2 linked regions of the Sus scrofa genome follow. The protein of the gene in region 1 purifies or fractionates together with the protein of each later gene. This does not show direct contact. Links are inferred from orthologs where the notes say so. Each region holds a gene or a part of one and is shown on either strand. Other genes may lie near its edges.

The links. The genes of interacting proteins can lie anywhere in the genome.
Region 2: the proteins of CDH2 (region 1) and CTNNA1 purify together in Homo sapiens (affinity purification with mass spectrometry; 4 studies listed by BioGRID and IntAct, with this or other methods). This does not show direct contact. The link is inferred for Sus scrofa from reciprocal best matches to the Homo sapiens genes CDH2 and CTNNA1.

What each region holds. Positions count from the first base shown.
Region 1 is NC_010448.4:112,624,489-112,632,320, reverse strand, and holds the start of CDH2 (cadherin-2), read left to right. Parts: upstream 1-3,247; 5' UTR 3,248-4,198; coding exon 4,199-4,258; intron 4,259-7,832. UniProt on the Homo sapiens protein: Calcium-dependent cell adhesion protein; preferentially mediates homotypic cell-cell adhesion by dimerization with a CDH2 chain from another cell. Cadherins may thus contribute to the sorting of heterogeneous cell types.
Region 2 is NC_010444.4:140,862,339-140,869,675, forward strand, and holds part of CTNNA1 (catenin alpha-1), read left to right. Parts: intron 1-2,635; coding exon 2,636-2,746; intron 2,747-3,872; coding exon 3,873-4,054; intron 4,055-4,145; coding exon 4,146-4,251; intron 4,252-5,481; coding exon 5,482-5,616; intron 5,617-6,381; coding exon 6,382-6,669; 3' UTR 6,670-7,337. UniProt on the Homo sapiens protein: Associates with the cytoplasmic domain of a variety of cadherins. The association of catenins to cadherins produces a complex which is linked to the actin filament network, and which seems to be of primary importance for cadherins cell-adhesion properties.

The sequences.
Region 1 (7,832 bases):
TGCTGCTGTGGCTCGGGTTCGATCCCTGGCCGGGGAACTTCCGAATGCCACATGAATGACCAAAAAATGGGGCAGGGGGAGTCTCGAGAATAATGTAAAGAGCCCAGTGAAAGTGGGAGTAAGGCAGCCTGAGTCCATCTAGCATTCTCCACTTGCCAGCTGGTAGCCTTGCATACATCTTTAAGCCTCAGTGTTCCTATAAAATGAGAGAGTTGCATAGACCATCTTTTGTTTCATTTAGAATAGTCCGTAACTCTAAAAGGCCTATTAACGCAGGGAAGGTCAGCTTTAACACACTAAAGCTAATTGGAGAGAAACTTGCAAACATAAGGGATACTTCTTAAGGGACAAAGGACAATCCTAGCTTGTCCTGGAGACTGGGAGAGAAAGAGGAAGAGTGGAAGACCATCTTGAGTAACACTGGGGAAGGACACTGGGCTGGTGTCAGAGGCCAAGACTATTGTGGGTCCTGCCCTAGAGGTGTAGGGGTGGGGGCGTGGTGGTGGGGTGGGTGCAGACTTGACAACCACTGGTTGCATGTCTTTCCAAAGTGAGGACCCTTTTAGGAAAAGACTCACATGATGTATTTGTATGCTTTGCATCTCCTGTATGAGAATACACACTAGAACAAAAAGTTACAATGACTTTTCTTTGAAATGAATGTTTAAAAAGGAATCATCATGGCATCTACATGCATATGAACACTTGCTACGAGTTGCAGGAACAACATTCATTCAGTCTGTCCATAATGTTTGATGCACATGTTCTCCTTTGCAGACCACTTGTAGTTAAGTCGGCGGCGGCGGCAGCAGCAGCAGCAGCGCATGGGTCAAAAAATAAGGGATTAGGTTGATTTTCAGTGCATGAGCCCAGCCTTAGTTTTAATGATTATTTTGCTGGTCTTTCCCGCCTTCCACCTTCTCCCCCCACAATCACACTGTTTCTCTGGGTTACCGCCTAGGCCCCTGCAGTCCCGGAGCTGTGCAAGTGGATAGAAAATCAGTTTTCAAACTGGCAGTGCTTTGAGCAGAAGCTGAAAACCTGATAGTTGGGTTACCACTTGCCCAGAGAAATGAAAGGCCCCATTAGATTACCTTCAGAATGATGCAGTGGAAGTACCATTAGTGTTGGATGCCAAAGTCAACACTAGATCCACCTGCATTAGCATCAAATGGATGCACAAATCTCCAATAAGATAATTTTAGAAAAGGCTATACCTTCTCCTGATCAGTCTGACTAGCAAGATTTGGCTGTCCATGTGATCAGCCAGGAAACTCAGGCAGAATTCCAAAGCTATCCACAGCCATTGAAGAGTGAGAGGCCTGGAAGTTGGACATAAAATTAAAAAAAAAACCCAAAAACAAATGCTGCCAAGTGCTTACCTATCTGATTGAAAACTACTGCAATCAGAGCATAAGTTGACTGACAGGCATTCCAAAGCAGATTCTGAAGTCATAATAAGAGTTCAATTTGTAAGGGGCACACGGTTTAAAACTTTAAGCAAATAATACTAACAAGCAATAGTTATTCATGTTGAAATCTCTTCTACATTTAAATTAATCAGAATGGCAATAAACATCAATGGCTACTGTTGGGAGTGGTGAGGATGCAACTAAGGCCTCAAGTCCAGGGTCAAAGCTTAATTCTTAGGCATGGAGATGGGATTTATAAATCCCACTTTGGTACACAACAAATACTATCCCCATTTTGCCACTAAATGTTTTACTACTATGCATGACTTATTGAAAGTGGAATTTATGAATACCCTATGGCAAGGAGAAATTTTAGGCTGATTGGCAATAGTGTGACAATATCTAGCAAAGAAGTAAGCAAAAGAACAAATGGAGCCTTTTGTCTTTAAATGTAATTAACATATTCTTCCTTATCCTTTTGGAAAGAAAATTCAGAAAAATTTTTTTTGAGTTTCATTTTTTGAAGGCTGACGATATTATGTTTTAATTAAAATTGAATAAACTTCCGTTTGCATACTGATTTAAAAGCCTAGCCAGCAACAGCACATTAAAAGCTGCATTACTTACATCAAATAAATTTTTACTTGATTTTTAGATTCATTATCAAGTTCTCAAATGATCAGTATCCTGAAACTCAAATAATGTTAATACTTCAGTTACCCGAAGCAGAAGAGTAAAGTTCAATAAGCAAAGAAGGTGGATGACCTCCGAAGTGCTAAAACCCTTAGGAAAAAACCGATATTTTCATTTACTTGAAAAAATCTAAAAAAAAAGTTCTGATAAAACCTTATCACTTTGCCAAAATCAATTGCTCCTCACCCCTCCCTCCATTCCACAAATGCTTGTGACCCCAACTTGTAAAGTCTCTCACTTTTTGTGTTCCACTCCAAGTTCCGTGCCTCAAAAGGAGGAAGCAAAAATCCTTTACTTGGATTGAACTCTGAATCAGTCATTTCATCTCTTAGATAATCCTATTTTTCACGGCAAGTTCTGGCCTTTAGGTTGTGTCCCCATTTCTTTTTCTTTCTTTCGTTGTTGCGGGTGGTGTAGGGAGGGAGTCAAAGTCCCTTCAACCGTTTGCTAAAAAATGTGAACAGCACCACTAAGGAGCAGAAACAGAAAATGGGAGGTTTCAAACAGAATAACACGCACTCTCAAACCCCCAGAAAGAATAACAACAAAACAAGCACACAGAAACTTGGGCTGGTCCAGCACATCCGCAAAGGAGGGAGAGGTGCGAGCGCTTCAGAGAAGCCGATGGGCCTCCGCCCTGCCCGCCCGCAGGTGGCTCCTGGCAAGCGCCGCAGACAACAATGGCCAGCATGGGCTTTGCCCGCGTCGCTAGTTTGCTGTGTCTGTCCCTGCCCAGAAAAACGGTCTATCTTGAAAGAATGACCAAACAGAAAGGGAAGCGAAGCGTGCGTTAGGCTGTGAAGAAAGCATTCCCCCTTCAATGCCTAACATCTATCTGATGCCCCATCGCTGTCCAAAGATGAACCTGCCACCGATCAAGTTCCGGCGCAAGTTCTTTTCTTTCCCGCAGCCCCTACACCTGCCGGGCAGTGCTCTGCACATCCCCAGGTTTCCCTCCCGCGGCCCCCCTCGGGCTGCAGCAAAAATGGGGCGCTTCGGTGGGGCGGGGGCGGGCGGCTGCCGCGGATCCCGCCGGCTACCGCCGCAGCTTGGTGGCCTCCGATTGGCCACGACGCGGGCGGGGAAGCTCCGCGGCGGAGGAGGGAGGCGGGGGCGAGGGCGGCGGCAGCGGGAGGGGATCGGAGCGGGGAGCTGGCTGCGCAGCCGGGCAGCGCGCGGGGAGAGCGGTGGCGGCGGCTCACCCTAGTCGCGCTCGCGGAGGCCGAGAGGGGCGCGCGGGCGGCGGCGGGGGGTGGGGGCGGCGCGCGCGAGTGAGCCGAAAGGGGCGAGGACCCGCGGGCGGGTGCCGGCGCGCGGGCAGCAGGGGCGGCCGTAGCGGCAGCTGCGCGGGACGGAGCCGCGGCGGGAGCGGCCGGGCGGGCCCCTGGCCTCACTCCCGCGCGGCAGAGGCCGGAGAATAGTCTCCAACTCTCAGGGGGACCGGAAAGGGGAGCGGAGAAGCGGTCCTTGCCTCCCACGCAGCAGAGGAGCCAGGCGGCGGGACTGCTGCCCTTTGTGGGCGCAGCGCGCGCGGCCCAGAGCGCCCTCCCCGCGGCGCTCTCGCCCGCGTCTTCATCTTGCAGAGCGGCCCTGGAGAAGGGACCCGGAGGAAGCAAAACCCGAGCCCGAAACCTCGCGTTGCGGAGCTCCTGGGGAGCGCCAGCCGCTCCACTTCCACCTCCGCATCCTCCACTGGCCAAGGTCTCCGCCGCCTGCATCCCTCCTGGCTTCCGCTGCGCTTTGGGCCAGAGCAGAGCCGCCTGCGCTGCCACCGCGGCCACACACACACACACACACACACACACACACACGCACTCACGCGCACGCCCGCCTTCTCTCCCGCCCCTCCCCAGCTCCTTGATCTCTAGGTCTGTTTTATTACTCGTGGTGCGAGTCCCGACTCCGCGGCCCGCTATTTGTCATCAGCTCTCTCTCCATTGGCGGGGAGCAGAGAGCGGCGGCGAAGGGGGTGGGGTGGGGAGGGGAAGGGAAGGGGGTGGAAACTGCCTGGAGCCGTCTCTCCGCGCCGCTGTTGGTGCTGCCGCTGCTGCCGCCGACGCCTCCGGCTCCTCGCTCGGCCCCTCTCCGCCTCCATGTGCCGGATACTGGGAGCGCCGCGGACCCTGCTGCCGCTCCTGGCGGCTCTGCTTCAGGTACGCAGCGGTCCCCGCGGGCCGGGCTGCGGGCGGGGTGGGGCAGGCAGCGCCGGGTCCCTTTGTTCCCCGCGCCGCTGCGGGGCCGGGCTGCGCACCCGGGAAGGGAGGTGCCGCACCGCGCGGACGGTTGCTGCGCAGACACGAGGCTTGGGCCGTGCGCAGGGACAGGGCTGCTGGGGCCAACCAGTCTCCCGCGCCACTCTTGGCGGGTCGCAAAGAGGCTAATCCGGGGCCCCCTCTGCTCCTCCAGCGGGGTCGGGCGAGCTCGCGGCGGGTGTTTCTAGGCAGTAGAAGACTGAGGTAGGATAGGGCTCTGGTTTTGCAGTTTCCTAAGCTTCTCGCCCCTCGCCTTGCACTTTGCTCCAATTTTTTTGTTTATTTCTGCAGGGATAGGTCGCGAGTTTGCAGAAAGAATTCTCACTCTGATGTCTTAGTTACGGGACTTGCCTCTACCTACCCCACCCTGGTACCCGCGCGCCTCCCGGTGCCCGAGGGCTCCTCTGTCCTATTGTCTTTACCCCCAGCCCAGAGTTGCTTCCTATTTTTGTTTTTCTGCCTTATCAGTTTTCTGTTTCGCTCTTACCTGGAAAGAAAACCTCGCCCCTTTGCCCCAAAAGTCTGCTCGGGTCGGCGACTCCGCATCCAGCCCCTGGGCCCCGCAGGTCCCTTATCCTGCCGCGCGGGGAGAAGTTCCGTTACTCGGCTATTATTCTTTTTCTGTCCCGCTGCCTCTGCCCTGAGTGCGTCTTGGGGGCGCCTTTACCGGGAGACTGCACTTTTCACGCCTTGGGGAGAGTGCCAGACAGCTTTCCCCTGGAAATGGTACTGGGAGTCTCCTCCGCAGCAGGAAGCACCTGCTCCAGGCAGGTCACAGGCTCCTTTCCCACTTCGCGCCTCCGGTCCCCAGCCCGGCCTAGCTCCCAACTTTCCCGCGGCGTCCGGTCGGAGGATGCCGCGAGGCCCCTGCCTGCTCGCCAGACAGGTAGCGGGGAACTGAGCCGTGCGCCGCGGCCGCTACCCCCGCGCTGGGCGGAGACCGGCCAGGGGTCCAGAGTCTGCCCCCGAGGGTGGTGAGGTCCCCAAGCGGCTGCGGGCGAGGGGCGGGTCCGCCCTCCACTAGCCCGCAGAGTCTCCGGGGAAATCCTTTCAAGTGACCCCCAGCGCACCGCCGGCGGCTGGGGGTGTCCGGCTGACGGTCGCTCCAAAAAGCGCGGGCGCGGCTGGGATGTGCCGATGCGCCCGGGGCGACCGGGAAAGGAACAGATGGTACGGATCGCTCCCCTCCATGGTCTTCACGGGTCAGGGCCTGGCGCGCTCCGGCCGCGGGCGCCGGGGGCGGGACGGGACCGGCGCCCGCGGTCTCTCGCGCTCCCTCCCGCTGCCCCCTAGAGGGGTGTGGGCCGTGGCGGTGCCGAGCCCTGTCCATGGTGCGCGGAGGAGCCGTCCCGGCTCCGTGCTCTCCTCCCCCGGGTCGTGCTCGCCCACTTTCGGGCTCCCTCCCTCCCACTGGCTCTCGGGCCGCCTGGGTCCCGTCGTTCCTTTCTCCTTTCTTGGGTTTCTCCTTTTGTTCTTTCGTCTCCTGCTGGTCGTTCCCTCTCCCCTTCCCCCACTCGCCATTCCGCCCCCACCTCGATTCTCTTCTGACTCTGGGGTTTCAGAACTAGTAGACTAGACATTTTTTGGCCTCTGCACTTTTGGGGAGTGGATGGAATTTTTTCTAACTTGGGGGAGGAGACCTGCCAGTCACTTGCTAACAAAAGTACCTCCTGTTATAAAACCACCCTTTATTCTTGGAGTGCACACTCCTCATTCTTTCACCTCCTGTCACTTCATTTATTGTTTCTTCTTTGAAAATGGGGTTTATTGACGGAGTTAGGCTGAAAGGGAAGAAGAAAAAAAGCGCTACTTCAAATGTTTAAAGTTAAGGGGAAAGCAAGATAAATTTAAGAACTTCGGATTTTTTTTTTTAAACCTGTATCATACATAGATTTAGAAAAATCTTTAAAAACCATGTTTTGGATATCATGGAGTGGTCTTACTTATTTAAAGATGACATAAAATCCCAAGAGTGTGAGTGAAGTGGTGGTATGCACACTAACTTTTTGATCTGAAAGTGAGTTTTAATTGAATACTTCGCAGTGAAGTTAGGACTGTTACCACAAATAACATGGGACTTAAGTGTGGTGCCACGGGAGCAGTCTCCTGTCCTCTTTGAGTCCTCTGCCTAGAGGCCAGGTGCGGAATTTTTAGGTCATATTCTTTTTTGTTTCCTTAAGCATTAAAAAAGTATTATATTGAAAAGCCAAACAATGGGCTTGCCCTTTCCCCTTGTACGTTCTTTCTCAGTTTCTTCCAGGCCAACGTCATGTTGATTTTTCTAAAACCTTGAGGAATGGAGAGATTAAAACTTTGTCATCGAGTTGTTTGGCAGACTTTTAATTCCTGGTGCAAGTCAAGCAATAACACTGAGTGATTTGCAAGGTCATTAGAAGTGGAAGCAGAGTTTATGCAACATCAGTTTTTGGGTTGTTTTAGGGTTAAGTGCACCATGTGGATTGTACACACTGAGGTTGGAAATGACTTTGTCCTAATGGTCTGCTTTACACACCAGAATAACCAGATCTATCTGCAAGGTGAATATGGCCCCTCTGCAGTCATCTGCTGTTAAAAATCTAATTCCCCCCGCCCCGACTCAGGCCAATCTAAGGACTCAAGAGTTTTAGAACAGCAGATGAGTAGGTTATTAGTGTAAATACCAACTGCCTTATTTTTTCAGACCAATTGAAGAATAATTGAATATTCAAAAGGACGCCAGGCCTTTAATTAACTAAAGTATTCTTTGTTTTACTTTGAACACTTCCTTTTTTTCACTTTGAGAGATTCTTTACTAGTTGAGGTATTCTCTTACCTAGATTTACATAATTCGAGTCAATTTTGCATATCATCGTATTCAGCTTTAAGGTTTTCTCTATTTTCCTCCGTATTTTAGCCTGAGGCATTAGTATTGTCCTATTAAAAAAAAAGCAGAACTTGAGCATTAAACTTCACTGATCAAGGGATATCAGAAAGTTATGACAAGCTTTCCTTTTAAACTGTACAAGTGACTTTTAAATGCTTAGATTTATCAGCAGAAAAAAAATCAATTTTACTTTTACCACCCATCCAGTAATTAATAGATTAGAACCTGCTTTGTTTTTCTAGTTCACATTTTAATTGCATAGCTCCATTGTTCTAATTTAAATACACTGTGTGAATTATAAAGCATCAAGGACATCACCTTTGTGTTCACAGGTATTCTAGATTATTAGTCTTATCACATAGGTCCTGCTTTCAATCCTGGATGAGGACTTATGAAAAAAAATGCACAAACCATAGGCGCTTTTCACCTATTAGGTAAAGACTTTGAGAATGGTAATATTTAATACATGAAACTTTAAAAAAACCAAAAAGCTCTGTTTTAGAATGGATAATCTAGGACACAATGATCATTTTAAGTAAAAAACATATATGTATTCTCCATGTTTATTTGATTGGCATGTCTTGGTAATAAGTTCCTGTAAAAGTAAGGAAA
Region 2 (7,337 bases), on another chromosome or scaffold:
TCTCCTCTGACCCCTTACTTCCTCTTACTTGCCGTGCAAAATGCAGCCCTAATGGGGCCTGGCGCACACAAGTGCAGCTATCTTGAGCGGGGCCGCCGCACCCGGCATTGCCAGGGGGCCCTGGGTGCCCAGGGCAGCGGCCTGCTGGCACTTGCCCACCTGTGCCCCAGCCTCCCTGGCCAGCTGTGGGGCCCTCTCACTAGGGCTGCTGAGCAGTGTGCACGTCTGCTCCTGCCACGCCTGTGCCCATGTCCCCTGCCTCCTCCCCTCACCGTGGATGTCCCCGTGCTGGCAGCGGCCATCCTCAGCCCATTTCCTCCAGCCCCTTCCTCCGGGGCGCGCGCGCACACACACACACACACACACACACACACACGCCACCGTTTCTGCGACTGTGAGAAACCTGGCCACCCTCCTGCTGTCTCTTTGCCAGGACCCCTTGTCACTTGTCGTCTCAGCATCTGACTGTGCTCGTTCCCTTGGTGCATAAAGGCGGGAGAGACCAGCAAGCGGTCGACTCTGCTGTGCCCCTGGTTCACCTGCCACCCTGCCCGCCCACCCCACCCCGCTTCACGCATCAGACCAAGCTCCTGTCTCGCCACCCAGGCTGCTCACAGCACCTGCTGGCAGCTCTGTCTTCCACTTGCTCAGCCCCAACCTTGGCTTCACCTTTGATTCTGCTTTTTGCCTCATACCCTGAATCTCATCTCTCTGCAAGTCTTACTGGGTCTACCTCACCGTCAATAGAGACTCGAGACACTATTCCTGCCCTGCTCCAGGCCGCCGGCATCTCTCCCTGGCTTCATGCAGTTGCTTCTCAGCCAGGCTCCACATCCGCAGCCCTGGGTCGGGCAGTCTCCCCCGCCGCCAAGCACCCAGAATGCTCAGTCCTCTCCGACGGCTGCCTGTCCCTTCGTCCTTACCCCGGCCCTCCGTCCTTACCCTGGCCCACGAGGCCTGCCAGGAGCGGAGCCTGTCACCTCTGTCCCTCACCTCCCGCTATGCCTTCCTGGGATCCCAGGGCTCCAGCTGACCCTGCCACGCGAGGGCCGTGAACGGCCTTTGCTGTCGTCCACTTCCCCGGCAGACCCGGCTCCAGGCTTCGTGTGGGTGACCCCCTCCTGTGCTCCCACCTTCACCGTCTTCAAGTCTGGGGCCAGCGTCTCCATCTCACTCAACCTTTCCTGAGCACCCGTATAAAACGACGGTCTTCCTGCTGCTTGATCGCGCTGATCACTTGCCTTGATGTCTTGCAATTCCCCTTATTGCGTTGGTCATGTCTCCCATTGGAATACATGTGAGAGCAGGGGGTTTTGTCTGTTCTATTTTGTACCTCCACGGCCCAGAAGAGTGGCTGGCAGACACGTAATCAGTGAATGAAGAGGAGATGTTTGGTTTTCGTGGGTCTGTGACGGGCCGTCCAGAAAGGTGGGGAGGTGGAGCTTGTGTTAGGAGGCTCCCCTTGGAGCACTCAGAGGCTGAAGGTGTCGGGGACCCCGGATTAAAGTGGCCAAGGGCAGGAGTTCCCTGGTGGCCTAGTGCTTAAGGGTTCAGCACTGTCACAGCTGTAGTAGAGGTTCAATCCTTGGCCCAGGCTGTGGGTACAAAAAAAAAAAAATTTAAATGGCCCATGGCAACACAACTCCAGGCTCTGGCATCCACACTGGTGCCTCGCAAGACCCCCACTGTCCTCCCCTTCAGTGAGGGAGGGACAAACCCAGCATACCCCTGGCGGTTTCAGAGCTTCCTCCCACGGCTTCTCGTTTGAGCCTCACAGCGAGGCCTGGGCTGGGCTTGGACTGGGTCCTGGTGCAGATGAGGGACTCGCCTCGCTGCCCTCCTGTCACAGGCCGGCCGGCTGGGCCAAGAGCCAGCCCCAGCTGTTCTGCCTGCTGCCCTGCGGCTGATAACTTCCAGAAGATGACATTATGTTTCAAGTCAGCAGCTAATCAGGAGCGGCTGGAGGATGCACAACATGCGAATTTTATTTCACAGTTAAAGCAGAGGTAGGGCCGGCCGTCAGTCCCCTTGGTGTTTCCTCGGGCCGTAGCCGCCAGGTTCGCTCTGGGCCTTAGATAAAGTCAGTGCGTGAAAATACATTGTCTATTTTTACCCCTCAAAGCAGCATTTGCTACCCTGTAAGAAGGCCCACTATTAGTTCATTTAGTTTTCTTTTTTATCGTAAAGTGGGAAAGTTAGAATAAGGGTCTGCTTAATGCTGTAGGAAACACTTGTGTTTTACTCCAGTAGCTTTTCCACCCAGGACGCGTCTCACCTTTGTCTTAAGGTGCAGGCCTTGGCGAAGTCCATTTCGAACCGCAAAGCTTTGTCAAGCAGAGTCTGGACGCCCTGGCAGCACTTGCAGCCCTCACTGCGGTAAAGGACCCCTGGGTCCTTTGGGAAGCGGCGGCCTGGTGCCGTTGCTGCTGCTCGTTGAAGGGGCCGCCTGGCTCGTGGTCAGTGAGGCAGGCTCTCAGACGAACACTGAGCCGTTTTAACGTGATGTTCCTCCGCCGTGGAATCCTGCAGGAAATCCTGGCTCTCCGTCTGTTGGGCCCTGGGGCTGTGGACCCAGAGGCTCGGGGCGGCTGGAGGCCCAGGCTTGTGCTTCACTGTGTTTTCTGTCTGGTGGCAGACCCCTGAGGAGCTGGACGACTCGGACTTCGAGACGGAAGACTTCGATGTCCGCAGCAGGACCAGTGTCCAGACAGAGGACGACCAGCTGATCGCCGGCCAGAGTGCCCGGGTGAGGCCCCGCTTCGCCTCGGCCTGCAGACCTTCCCACTCCTCTCGCGTCTGGCCTTTTTTTTTCTAGGAAACTCACTGTCGAGAACATAGTTCTTGTCCTCTGTGGTTAACCTGGGGGTTCCTCCGAAATGTTTCCCCAGCTGGAAGCAGGGCAGGAGCATATGGGCCTCCTCGCGGTGCCCTGGGCTTTGGTGTACGAGGGGCCCTGGGTCCCGAAAGCCCCGGGATCTGGTCAATGCAGCGTTTGTTAAAAAAGTCGAAAAAAGGTGGCTCTCTTTGCCTATCTCAGTGATACCACGGGCATGAACTATTTAATTATTCATGGGTGAAAAACAACACAGTAGCGCATTCACGAAATCCAGCGCCACTGCGTTCACTTAAGTCATTACGTCTTCAATCAGTTGCATTTATGTTTTTGGGAGGATGCCAAGAAATATTTCTAAGGAGTCTTTTTTCACCCTTTAGAAATCATTCTGGAAAAGCGGTACCTCCCTGCCTTAAGCCCCCACCCCGCCCCGGTCCTGAGCATTCGGGAAGCGGACTGGAGAGGGAGGAACACAGGGCCTGAGGCTGGGGCTGCGCAGCCGGCCTCCGGGTGCTGCTGCCATGAGCTCTAGGTGGCCTCTCACGTCCCTAAAATGCTCCCTCGGCAGCAGCTTCTCTTGTGCCCACTTTCCTTCTGTAAAGTGTACGTTCCAAAACTACTTCCAGGTCACCTTGAAAAGCTGGAGGTGGACTGGGCCACAGGAAGGGCCCTTCAGGGCCTGCCAGGGACACGAGTCCTCGTCTTCTCCCCACGACAGGAGGCAGGGTGACACTTCTAAAGCATTAAGCAAAGCAGGTTGTGTCCCTGTGCAGGTTGATGGTGAGGCTCGGCCTGGGCCTTCTGCCCTCATCCCTGTCTTGATCCACGCTACAGCTCGGTCTTCAAAGGGGGTCGGCAATTCAGGCTGCTCTAAACTTCTGCACAAAATGAGAAGAAATGGCCCTTTGAGCAAAATGAAAGCTATTACAGCATTATCCTACCTGTGTCATAGATCGCTTGGTGGAAATATTCTTGCCTAATGCACTGTGGGAACTTCATCTTCTCTTTATGTAAGAGCTTTCTGTGCTTCTGATTTTAGGCGATCATGGCTCAGCTTCCCCAGGAGCAAAAAGCGAAGATCGCGGAACAGGTGGCCAGCTTCCAGGAAGAAAAGAGCAAGCTGGACGCCGAAGTGTCCAAGTGGGACGACAGCGGTAACGACATCATCGTGCTGGCCAAGCAGATGTGCATGATCATGATGGAGATGACGGACTTCACCCGGTGAGCCCAGCAGCCCAGCCCCCCCTTCCCCCCCCCCCCCCACGGGGCGGGGGCTTCGGGTGCTACAGCCCTCCTTGTCCGCTTGCTCCAGAGGTAAAGGACCGCTCAAAAACACATCCGACGTGATCAGCGCCGCCAAGAAGATTGCCGAGGCAGGATCCCGGATGGATAAGCTCGGCCGTACCATCGCAGACCACGTGAGTGACGGGCTGGCCCGTGGGCCTCCGGGTTCATCCTGGGGCTCAGGCAGCCCAGTGGGGGTAACAGTGTTTTCTCATGAAGCACTGCTCCTAACCTGCCACCCAGCTCGGTTCTGTATCAGCGTCGTTGTAAGGATTTCTCAATTCCTCTTCCTCCTCCGACTCGTCTTATAAGGCAGGCCCAGTTTGCGTTAAAGCTCATCTGGAGCAGGTGCCTGGGCCCCGCAGTCCTTGGTGGACACGACTGCTCAGACCACCCTCTGCTGGTGTTTATGGCTCTCATTTGGCTTCAGGAGACACTCTGGGCAGGTCCTAATAATACACTGAAACCAGGTGTAGGAGAGCCTCTGTGGCTTTGTGTCACGTAAAAATCAGGAGCCCTTTTGGCTGGTGCTTTGGAAGGCTGATGTGCCCACCTGGGGACAGATGTCTCCGTGCTCAGCCACCCAGCCTTGGCCCCTTCATTCTTCAGAGCAGCATGTTCCTCTGTCCTGGAGAGGCCACCGTACATTCCCCTCATGCTTCCAATGTGGTCAGAGACGCTGTGGCTCAGCTCAGCTTGCAGTACAGCGGGTCCTCCACTGCCCTCTTTGTTCTAATAATCCAGTACTGAGCCCCCGCTTCCCCTGGCCACACGGAGTCACGGGGCACCCCCCTCCTCGCCCCATCTCCACTCGGGGGCCAGCGCCGTCTTTCTGCGCAATCATTGAATGAGCTGTGGCGCTGCCCTGCTCAGAATCAAGTCCTCGCTCTCCCGCAGGGGCTGCAGGCTTAATTGAACCACTCTCGCCCTCCCTGCTCCCCAGCCTCCCAGGAGGGGGTGCACCCCTCCTTCTGTGGGGGGCCCTCCTAAGCTGGCCCTGAGCTCTGGTAGCAAGACAGCGCTTTCCCGGGACGGGGCAGGCCCTCCCGGCCCCCACGTGCTGTGTGCTCTGAGCCACTCACATTCTCTGTCGTGGCCTGAAGTGACTCTCGTGTCATTAGGTGGCTACAGTGGGGGTCATTGAGGAGCTGCGGGGACGGTCTCAGGCAGCCCCAGGGCGCTGCCTTTTCTCCAGAAGCAGCCTTGCTGAGGGTAGCCCCGGCAGTCACGGCCCTGGGTCCTGGGGTGACTCCTGGCTCTGGCCCTCTGTTCCAGCCAGGAGCACGCGGGGCCTCTGAGAAATAGCCGGCGGGGTGGGGGGGGGGGGGGGCCGGGGGCCTGGTGCTGAGCCCGCTCTCCCGCAGTGCCCGGACTCGGCCTGTAAGCAGGACCTGCTGGCCTACCTGCAGCGCATCGCCCTCTACTGCCACCAGCTCAACATCTGCAGCAAAGTCAAGGCCGAGGTGCAGAACCTGGGCGGGGAGCTGGTCGTCTCCGGGGTAAGTTCCATCTGGGAAGAGTCATGCGTGGGCCCTGCCGGCGAGTTTCCTCTCGGTCCTCGGAGGCCAAGGGCTGCTCCGGGCCGCTCCCTGCAGAACCGCAGCTCTGCTGAGCGCGGCCTGTGCGGGCCGCTCCCTGGGAGAAAGTGCTTGTAGCTTCCTCACTTTTCTTCCCTCCGAGAGAAATGGAACCCTTTGAGAAATTGCCGAGGTCACGCAGATAGGTTTCCTCGAACCTTCCCCATCCTCCAGGTGTGCCGGTAGCGTCTCCTCCTGGGTCTGTCTACCGCGTCACAGGTCTGGACCCCTTGTCACCTTGGGCAGGAGAAACGCCTCCCTCCACTGATTCCCTGTGGCTTCTGCTAAGGACCCCACGGCGTTGCCTTTCACACGTACTCAGCACGTGTGCACCTGCTACAACTGAGATGCCCCGTCCCTGGGGAGCAGTAAGGCAGAGGCTCTGAGCGGGGACACCCCCGGGCCCTGACCGTGGGCTTTCTGTCGCGAGGCAGGGCTGTTGCCGGTGCTTGCGGTTCCAGTGCTGCCGCCGCCACCCCCGCGCCTGCAGCAGAGCCCGCGCCCCCAGGGAATCATGCGGTTGAGGGGGCAGTGAGCTAACGGTCCGCGAGCTTTTCTCAGGCCTCCCCCCGCTCGCCAGCCGCAGCACAGGCACCTGCGGGCGTCGGGTCCCAGCAGCAGCGGGGGGCGCTGCGGCCGGGCCCCGGGCCGCCCGCGCTCACGGCTCCTCCCTGCTGTGCCCTCTAGGTGGACAGCGCCATGTCCCTGATCCAGGCCGCCAAGAACCTGATGAACGCCGTGGTGCAGACGGTGAAGGCCTCCTACGTGGCCTCCACCAAGTACCAGAAGTCCCAGGGCATGGCCTCCCTCAACCTCCCCGCCGTGTCCTGGAAGATGAAGGCGCCTGAGAAGAAGCCCTTGGTGAAGAGAGAGAAGCAGGACGAGACCCAGACCAAGATTAAGAGGGCCTCGCAGAAGAAGCACGTGAACCCCGTGCAGGCCCTCAGCGAGTTCAAAGCCATGGACAGCATCTGAGGCCAGCGGCTGCGGGCGGCCCCCTGCTCTGGGCGTCCCGGGGACGCAGGCAGGCGGCTGAATGTTGGGGACAGGGACAGTCTTGTGTTTAAGTTGATCAGAAGTCCTTTTAGAATTGAGGAGCACGTATCCAGCTCTGTCTTTTTTACAAGCTTCCGTCAAAGTTCTTAACCAAAGAGACTCCCACACTCACCTGTTGGTAACACTGTTGACCAAGTCGACGCGCCCGTCCGTCGTCCTGGCGGCGGCAGCATCAGGCGTTGATCGCAGGGGCCTGGCAGGGAGGGGCCTTCGCTGCTTCGGGCAGGGTGGCTGGTGGTACGTGACCAGAGGCGACCCAGAGCAAGCGGCCTGGGCGTCTTAGAAGGCGGCCCTGGAAAATGAACATTCCCAGAAAGGTCTTTAGAGGGACAGACCCCACGAAACTCAGTAGGACATAGCTGTATCGGGAAGAACGGTGATGACGCGAAGACGTGGTTACAGCCCCTGTGTGCGCTCGCTGCAGGTCACGACTAACGTTGCTCTTTTCAGGCTAGACCGTTGCGATGCCATGATCAGAACACGCTTTCCCCCCCTTCTTCAGCTTCCAGTGCAAATTCCTCCTTGGGCTCACTTCTAATAATTGCAGAGTTTCTTGCCTTGGGCTTGCGGCAGAGGCCTGGCAAACG